2 linked regions of the Drosophila melanogaster genome follow. The protein of the gene in region 1 interacts with the protein of each later gene in a pairwise test. Each region holds a gene or a part of one and is shown in the gene's direction. Other genes may lie near its edges. The genes, in order: CG3548 and Arp10.

Evidence for each region.
Region 2: the proteins of CG3548 (region 1) and Arp10 interact in a two-hybrid assay, tested with the Drosophila melanogaster proteins (2 studies listed by BioGRID).

What each region holds. Positions count from the first base shown.
Region 1 is NT_033778.4:24,598,287-24,603,178, forward strand, and holds CG3548 (uncharacterized protein), read left to right. Parts: upstream 1-1,660; 5' UTR 1,661-1,761; coding exon 1,762-2,099; intron 2,100-2,174; coding exon 2,175-2,694; intron 2,695-2,822; coding exon 2,823-3,326; 3' UTR 3,327-4,081; downstream 4,082-4,892. Other genes in the region: CG13587 (uncharacterized protein), read left to right, coding at 1-147, 205-547, 613-805; ATPsynF (ATP synthase, subunit F), read right to left, coding at 967-1,211, 1,331-1,409; CG3565 (uncharacterized protein), read left to right, coding at 4,236-4,625, 4,683-4,790, 4,852-4,892.
Region 2 is NC_004354.4:19,644,031-19,648,387, reverse strand, and holds Arp10 (Actin-related protein 10), read left to right. Parts: upstream 1-2,211; 5' UTR 2,212-2,471; coding exon 2,472-2,542; intron 2,543-2,602; coding exon 2,603-2,755; intron 2,756-2,805; coding exon 2,806-3,718; 3' UTR 3,719-3,857; downstream 3,858-4,357. Other genes in the region: Ranbp21, read left to right, coding at 1-813; Sec61gamma (Sec61 gamma subunit), read right to left, coding at 4,295-4,357.

The sequences.
Region 1 (4,892 bases):
AGCGCATTCGAAGTCGTTTGAGTGTCTTCGAACAGCCAGGGGAGTTCTTCAACTGCCACGTCCTGAAGTGTCCTCAGAATAACACATTTTCAGGGATGGTCAATGACAGTCGCTTCGATTACTACAGCTTATATGGAAGGCCAACAGGTTAAATGAAGTATCTAGCGTATCTGTTTGGTTGAATAATTTTGTGGTTCTTGCTAGTCGTAAGGAACTACAGCTGCATACCGGAGGTTGGGCTGTTCGTGGTGTATACTCAGCCTAGTGCCTACTTGAATGCCTCACTGACCTGTTCAAACTCCTCGGAGTTCACTGGTAGTCTGGCCCACATCGCATCCGAACACAGAACCAGTTTATTGGCCCAATGGCTAGTGGAATTCAACAGGAAATCACAGTCTCTGGCAGAAGGTAATGTCTATCTGGCCTATGTGGGTTTGGCCTACAACAGCTCAACGTCATTGAGCCCACTGGACTTCAGGAACTCCCAAGGGGAGAGCTTGCAGTGCTTTCTTTACAGAGCCTGGGATGGTGGTCATCCTCGAGTTGGGTAGGCTGACAGTTTATTAGGTTAGCCGCCAATGCTATCTTCTCTAAATCTAACCGAATTTGCAGTGGTGATCTGGGCAACGCCAGCTGCGTGGCCTTGACGCCGCAGGGAACCTGGCAAACCCTGAACTGCGACCGGGAGCTGCCCTTTATCTGCGAAATCCACACGGCCCGGTCAACTTTCGGCTGGGAGCAGTCCAGTTCCGAGCTGGACATCGGCCCAAATGCAGTCTTCGAGTGCGGAAGAGACCGAGTCTGAGTCTATGGCAGCATGGATATTCGCAGCCGTTTTATTCACTTAAGCAGTTTTCAAAACACAAAAGCCAAATAGATATAGTTTAGTGGTGATTGCCCGCCTCTCGCACGCCTTGTGGAAAGTGTAGAATCTGTTGCAGATGCAGGACCACCGGGCAGCGCCGCTTAGTGGTACTTGTAGTTCCTGTGGTGCTTCAACTTGGTGTAGTTAATCAGATAGAAGAACGTCATGCTGGCGACGGTCAGCTGGAAGAAGGGAGCGATCCCGGCGCGCTTTGGGAACACGTACTTGTGCTGCCAGCGCCACCAGGCACGGCTCACAGCTCCGGCCACAGCGTTGGGGGTCTTGTTGCGGCGTCCCAGCCAGGCGCCGATCTCGCCCAGCTTGACCTGGCCGAAGGGCACATCGGCTGCGGATCGGAGAGAGCGGAGAGGTCGGAAAGTTGTTTAAATTATGTAAAACGCTGCACATTTTTGGGCAGTGCAAATGTGCTCTGTGCCTGCCGCAAAAATTACGTAACCTGCTCACCTTTGCCGTAGAAGCGAGCGGGGTCGTAGGGCCCGTGCACCTTGGGGTTGTACTCAGCTGGATAGTCACCGAATGCCATCGCGCTGGTTTGGTTGAGATATATTCTTAAATCGGATTCTTATGAAACATAAAATTACGCCTGCTACTTACTTCCTTCGATACTGACAGTATGACCAAAGCGGCGAGAGCTGGGATTTTCATCGACCAATATACCGAAATATACTATGTGCGAATTTATTGTGTGCGTCTCCGCTAACAGGGAGGATGTATTCGCTACGTCATCGATACAGCGAATATATCGATGCCCGATGCACGATGCACTTCTCACATCACTAAGCTCCAGTATATACAGAAATCAAATAGGATTTTTGCAAGCCTGGGCATTCGAATCAGAATCCAGCCAAAGCGAATCCAGTGTGTAAACAAAAACAATGAAACTGGAGGAGTTGCTGACCAAGGGAGCCTCCTCTCCGCCGGAGGACGACGACGAGGACGAGAAGGTGGAGCTGAAGCCGCAGAAGTCAAGCAGCGCCACCGCGGACGAGGGGGCGGAGAACGCGGAGGATGCGGCCGAGGATGCTGGCGAGAAGGAAGGCGCGGGTGGCAAGAAGAAGGGCACGCGCAAGAAACGCTCCCTTAACTGGGAGGAGGCGGAAAGGGGGCTGCTCCTTGAGGTCATCAAGTCCAAGGTGGCCTTCGTGGAGAACCGGAGCGTGGACGCCAAGAGCATAAAGGCCAAGCGTCTGGCCTGGTCGCAGATCACCAAGCAGTAAGTTGCGCCATTGGGCAGTGGAGCTCGTCTTATAATGGCCCTTCACTCCTTCCATTCCAACCCCCCATCCAGGTTCAATGCCCTTAACTTCCGCCATCGCCTGCTGGAGCAGATCCAGGTGCAGTGGCGCAGCATGAAGAACTCCGCCAAGCGGGAGCACCAGCAGAAGCATCCGAAAACGGAGGCCCTGGAAGGCATGCGGATGATCGAGTTCCTGGAGGAGATGCAGAAGGATCCGGTCACCTCGCGCAGTCAGACACGCAGCGCGAACACAAACGGCGCTCTTAAGAAGGAGCTCATGGACATCGACGAGGACGAAGACATGCCGCTGGCCGCTCTGCCCAACTCTACGAACGCCAGCGAGGACACGCTGCAGACCTCCACAATAGCCATCCCCTCGCCGCCGCCCTCCACTGCTGGCGGAGACGGGGACTCCCAGCAGGAGGGAAATCCCGCCCAGCTGCCAGCCCAGCGACGCAAGCGGACCAAGGCCAAGCAGTCGCCCTCGGGCGCCAAGACAGAAACGTCCGGCGAAACGGGGGAGGAGAACGAAAAGGGCGTAGGCCCACCACGAAAGCGGCGACAAAGGAATGTGAGTTTGAACACAAGCCGCAAGTTTATTTATTATTATTAATTAAGGTTTAGCTGAACAAGTTGCAAATTTTTGTGAAGGGGAATCTTAATCTTTCTTACTAATAATACTATCTCATCGTTAACCAGCTCTCACAGGCCCAGTCGCTGCTGTCCGACGAGAACGAAGCCTCCACCAACGCAGCTCCGAGCGCCACCCCAGTTGCAGACACAAATAGCCAGTCCTTAGATTTGGTCGCCGCCACGGAGATAGAGCAGAAGTACAAGCAGGACCTGTTTAGGCTGCTCAAGCAGGCCCGTCTGGCCGAAATCGACTACGCCCGGCGGGAACACGAGCAGAAGCTGCGCTTCGAGCAGATGGAGCAGGAGGTGAAGATGGCCTACTACCGGCAGGAGCAGGACCTCAAGCTGCGGCACATGCGCGAGGAGCACGACATCCGGCTGCGGCAGCAACGACGGGAGCACGAGGCGCGCCTGGGGATCTACTCGCTGAAGAGCGGTGGCCTGAACGGAAGCATACAGGATCAGAGTTCAGCAAAGTGCAATGCCAAAGCGGACTACAACAATGTCCACGAGGTCGGGCCATCGACCAGTGCGGAGGGGGCGCTGGCGCTCAATGCCGCCTGCAACTAGGGGCGTGGCTGTTGGCCCATATGCATATACAATACGAAGAGAGCCAGCAATTAGGGTGTAAGGCATTTAGAGGAAACATCAACAGTACTTTAAAATTTAGCTTGAAATATGTTTAGCGAAATGTAGCTCTTCCGGTCAGCCAGAGTAACCGGAAACGGAAACGTAAACGCCGGACGCGCATACAATACTCATCGACACACTCAAGTTGCCACTCGGACGAATGGACTGTTGTTTATTGTGCAATTCGCACGAGACGAACTCACAGGCATTGCATTTTCAAGAAATTAGTATTACATAATTGTATCCGTATCTGTTAAGTACTCCGGGCGAAGAGATCAATTCAAAATGCGGTTGTGTCGTCGAAAAAAAAACAAACTCGAAAATACTCATGCACAGACTCTGAATAAGTTCCCCTTTGCAGAACGCAATTTACTCATCAGTCAGTATTCTCTATGGCCACTGTATTATTTTTATACCTTCATTTGTTAGCTTTAAGTTTTTTTTACACAACTACTACTTATACTTGTGCTGCCACCAGTTGGGCTGCCGTAGTTGCAGATCAATGTATCCATTGTCCATACATTGCGAGAATCTTTTATAATTCGTCTAAGCATAAGTTACTGTACGTCGTGTTGTATAGCGCTGTAATATCCTGTCACCTGCTTCTGCTTAATTAATACCCTATATCGGGCGAGAGCAAGGTACGATTAAACCATTAGATAATGAAATACAAATACATAGTGTATAAACAGATGAACGACGTGCGTTTAAAGGGGGGTTCTCCGATCTCTCAGTCCCCGAAACAGGAATCAAAGTGGGCAACTCTGCAAATGCTTAGTATTTAAAAATCAAGGGTTCTATCAATATATTTCATCCACTTGAACTTTTAGAAAGCTGTGATAAATCGAAATGAAGGACCTGGACGGCTCCTTGGACACTCTGGAGAATGCCCGCTTCAACTACGTGTATATGAAGGACATTGCTCGCCTGGCAAAGGACTCGATCTTCTCGCATAACGAGCTGATTAGCATTGTAATGCTCTACCATAAGTTTGTGCTGGTCAATGGGCCGAGAGCAAAGTACATGACCATTCAGCAACTCTCTGCGCTGATGGAGCTCTTGTTTGAGATCGTGGATCGCGATCTCATTGCGACCATTGTGTATAGAATAGCCCATACACCAGGTTCCAGGCCTCCTGACTTCTTTTCCGACAAGCATATACACTTGGAGTCCTTTGTGCGGCTTTTCACCGTATACTTCACCAAAGATCTTCAGCTGAAAATGGAATTCGCATTCTCGGTGGGCAATTCATAGTATTCATATGAAATTAGCCTAGACCATTTGCTTACATTGCAGGTCTACGATAAAAGCGATTCCAAGCAGTTGAATGGCGAGCAAGTTGGGTTCTTCGTCGGCAAGTTCTTTGAGAGCGAGGATGAAGACGAATCCATTGAGCTGCGCTTGGTGAGGCACCATCCCCTACACTTGTTCCATTGAAACACTGACACATTTCGCATTCCTTCAGGACATGAAGGAGATGCTGTTCCTCAAATTCGACTTGGACAA
Region 2 (4,357 bases), on another chromosome or scaffold:
GTGCTGGAGGATCAGCTCAATCGCACGCTGACGCGCGAGTATTTGGACGTGCTAAAGATCGCGCTGGTGGGCGGCCAAATTGGAGCCGATCATGTGGCAGCTGGCGCCAATGCCAACAGCAATTCTGTGGCCATGGAGAATGAGGAGCACTCGATGGACAGCGCACCGCAATCGCGAGCAATCCAGTCGGCACTGCTCTCGGACATCATAAGCGACTTGGGCGGCAAGCTGCTGCGCAACGGACTCATTGGCAATTATGTGCTCATGACCTTGCTAAAAGCCATCGCCTGGAACGACGGCATGTGCAGCATGAAGGCTGTCAACATCGCAGCGCCCGTGATGCGTTTCCTGGCCGCCGAGAAACTAATGGACGAGAACAAGGCCGTCACGGCCTTTACCGCCGTCCTGCAGGGCATGCAGGTGCACGGTCAGCACGAGGCCAACCAATCGGGCCTGGTGACGCTGGGCGTGCAGTTCTACGAGCTGCTCCGTCCGCAGTTCCCCATTCTCAGCGAAGTGCTGCAGCATATCCCCAGCGTGAATGCGGCCGACATTCAAAAGTTCGACGAAAAGATTGCCGTGGCGCCCGTCAAGGGCAACAAAGTGGATCGCGCCAAGAAGGACATCTTCAAAAAGCTGACCGCCCAGCTGGTCGGACGCAGCGTGAACCAGTTGTTCCGGCACGAGGTGCAGATAGCCAATCTGCCGCCCATGCAGTCGCACAAGGCCAAGGGATCCATGGGCACCACGGCTGACATCATGGATAGCAATCAGAACGCGAGTCTGGCCAGGCTCTTTGGGCCGGAGAAGTGACACGGAGCGCAGCGGAAGCAGAAAACGAGATACACAAACGAACAGGAACAGGATAGGAGAAGCAGGAGGAGGCGTCGCAGCGGAGGCGGCGCCACCAGTGACACCACCTCTGTCCTGGTCGAGGACCGGGATCAGGAGCATGTCGAGACCACGGCCACCTCAGCTGCCAAACTAGCGACGACTGAACTGAATGTAACTGTAAATTAGCTTAGACGATGAGTTCGCACTTTTTCTCGCCCTTGTCCAAGACCATGACCCAGTCCGTGTCCCAGTCCCAGTCCCAGTTCCCAATCAGATCTTACAGTTATTAATTTATTTATTTTAACAACTAAATTTTAAGCGTACCCGCAATGAAGCAATTTTTTATTGAATTTGTCTCATGCGGGCATCGCAACCGCTTCGATCCGAACCGTTTCCCCCCCAGTTTCTGGAGGAAAATGGTGACTCGTGACTTGTTACTGCTTTGTTATTTATTATTCGAAATTTGTTAAACTTGTTTGCTCAAAGGAACTACTAGAATCGCTAGTTAGCAATACTCCGGCCCACAACCGTCAATCCGCAATCCTTAGCCCTCGTCCTATGGCCCCAGGTCCCAGGTGCTTCGCAGAGACGCCAGAAGACCATTTTATACATAGTTAATTAATTAATTATTTAATGAATTGTGCTTTCCTCGTTTTGTATAGTTACCTATGCGCAGGCATAATGTAATTTATATAATTGTACACATTTATCATTTGAAGGAATATTTCTGAAATTACGCTTAGGTTTAGTTGATAGGCAAAAGTTATTATTATATAATACATCAAATTGTATATGATCACACATCCCGCACCGCGAATGCATCATGCATTATGCAGTATAATAATTATAGCCCAAAAACACACCAGGATACTAAGAAAACATAATGAAATCGAAGCGGTCGACCGTGCAAAAACACAAATCGAAATAAGATAAAGCAGATAAATTTGAAATAAATTTAAAAATTCAAAGTGGAACCGACTTGTTTTAGTAATACGCAATATAATAATTTCAAACAGGACGATATCCATGCAAGAAAACATCACTGTGGACGGCAGTTAATGTAGTGACGAAGCGCGCCCGGAGACTTTGCGATTATATTGAACAAAAGTTGTTCTTAAGATATATGAATTTAATTTCACAAGAATCATTATAATTATTAGCTTCAAACTCGCGAAATTAACTTCTTAAATTCGATAAAGTAGTTTTGTAAACTTACTGAAAAGCATACATATGTATGTACACTGCAATAAACTAAAGTAAAGTTGATTCTATTTGTACGTAAGAGTTAGACCTCTTAAAAGCAGAATAATCGACTGACACCAAATGATTCCGAGCTACTTTCAAAATTTTATCTTGTTGGGTTTTAAAAGCCATAAAATACCAAAATACCAAATTGAATGTATTTCAAACCAATAGGCAAAGTTTTAAAGTTACCCAGAAATTTGAAAAGCGTGCCAGTAAAACGGATGCCATTAGTGGAAACAGGGTGTTTGCTCGCTACATCGTCAATCGATGATTTCCGCACACCGATAACTTCTTGTTTTGGCCAAAAATTAAGCGAACTGAACAATATACCATTCCATGGTCTAGTCGGTTCGTCCAGCAAAGGAGCAAGCAGCCAGCAGACAGCAGCCAAGATGCCCATTTACGAGAGCGTGATGCAGGAGAAGCCGCCCATTGTCCTCGACATTGGCACCGCCTACACCAAGTAAGCAAACGCAAATAATTCGGCGAAAGTGGTATGAAGTCATCACTGCACCCTTTTCAGGCTGGGATTCGCAGCGGAGGCGTATCCGCGCAAGATCATGCCCACGGAGGTGGTGATGACCACGACGGGGATCCGGAAGCGTCTGTTCGACTACGACACTCCGGAGGAGCTGTACGACCAGCTAGTGGATTTTCTGCAGACGATCTTCTTCAAGTAGGTGACTCGGTGGCTTTGGTTTCTATTGCAATGTAATTTCCTTCTAGGCATCTACTGGTCAGCCCCAAGGAGCGCAAGTTCGTGCTGGTGGAGAACGTGTTCGGATCCACTGTGCTGCGTGAAACCTTGGCCCGCGTGCTCTTTGTCCACTTCGACGTCTCCTCCGTGCTGTTCGTGCCCGTGCATCTCATTGCGCTGTCTACGCTGGCAGTGCCCACTGCCCTTGTGGTGGACGTTGGCTACAGCGAGACCAGCGTTATGCCCGTCTTCAGCGGGGTGCAAATCATGGCCGCCTTCAAGGATCAGAGCTACGGAGGCAGCGCCATCCACGCGGAGATCAAGCGGCAGCTGGTTGAGAGTGGCGTTAAGGAGAGCCTGCTAACAGAAAGCGTGCTGGAGGACATCAAGGTGCGAACCTGCTTTGTGACCACCATGGAAAGAGCCAAGGCCCGCGCCAACGGCGACGAGAATCAGCCGACTCCCGCGCCAGACGTGGACTACATTGTCAGCGACAACGATGCGGTCATCCAGGTGCCCGGCCTCCTGCGGGAGTCTGCCTACGAGATCATGTTCGAGGCCAGCAACGAGCGGGACAGCCTGCCGCATCTCATCCTGCGCTCCATTCTCGACTGCACACTAGACGTGCGACGTGCCCTGGTCGAGAGTGTGTTCCTCGTGGGCGGCGGCTCAATGGTCCAGGGTCTGCTGGCCCGCCTCCGCCAGGAGCTGCAGCATCTGCTCACCGAGGATCCGTTCTACGCCGAACGCTTCCATGGCGAGCTGCAGTTCAAGTTTTTCAATGCTGTCGGCAAGCAAAACTTTACTGCCTGGCTGGGCGGCGCCTTGTGCGGCGCGACGGATCTCATCCAGACACGATCGCTGGTCAAGGAGACGTATCTAAAGAGCGAGCACGTTCCCGACTGGAGCAACCTGTGCGATAATAGGCCGACAGGCTCGTAGACTCGAGGGCAGTCCCGGAAGATGGAAATATGTACGCTTCGGCGCTTTACTGGTTACGCGTACTAACATACTCTTGATTATTATTCTGTAATATATAGGTATTAAATATTTACGAAATATAGGCTAACGAGCTTTAAACAAAATATTGCTTGTACGTTTTCTGGACATTTATTCTTGGTTCTAATGATGATGTCGGTTTATCAGCTTCATTTACAACTTTACTTTCTTCAAGCAATGTAACGTTGCGTCTCTCAGAGTTAAAAGAATCTCATTTGTACACGGAAAATCAATTTAACATTTATTAGCGGGGATGCGCACCCCAAACAAATGCTATGAAGACGGGTGATTCCTTTTTACATTTGAATCTTATTAACTAACTTGTTCATGAATGGAATATCGAAACATTACAATACGTTTTCGTACGTTTGTGTAGAATTTTGTTAGAAAGGCATTCGCTGAATGCACATGGTCCATACATATAATGCATGTTAACTAAACGAAAAAAAAAGACGTTGATCTGATGTATGCTATAATGGATGATTGGATGATTGGTGGTTTCCTTGCCACTCAGCGCATTTAAGAGCCCACGATGATATTGTTGATGGGGATGTGTATCAACTTAACGAAGAAGCCGATGAA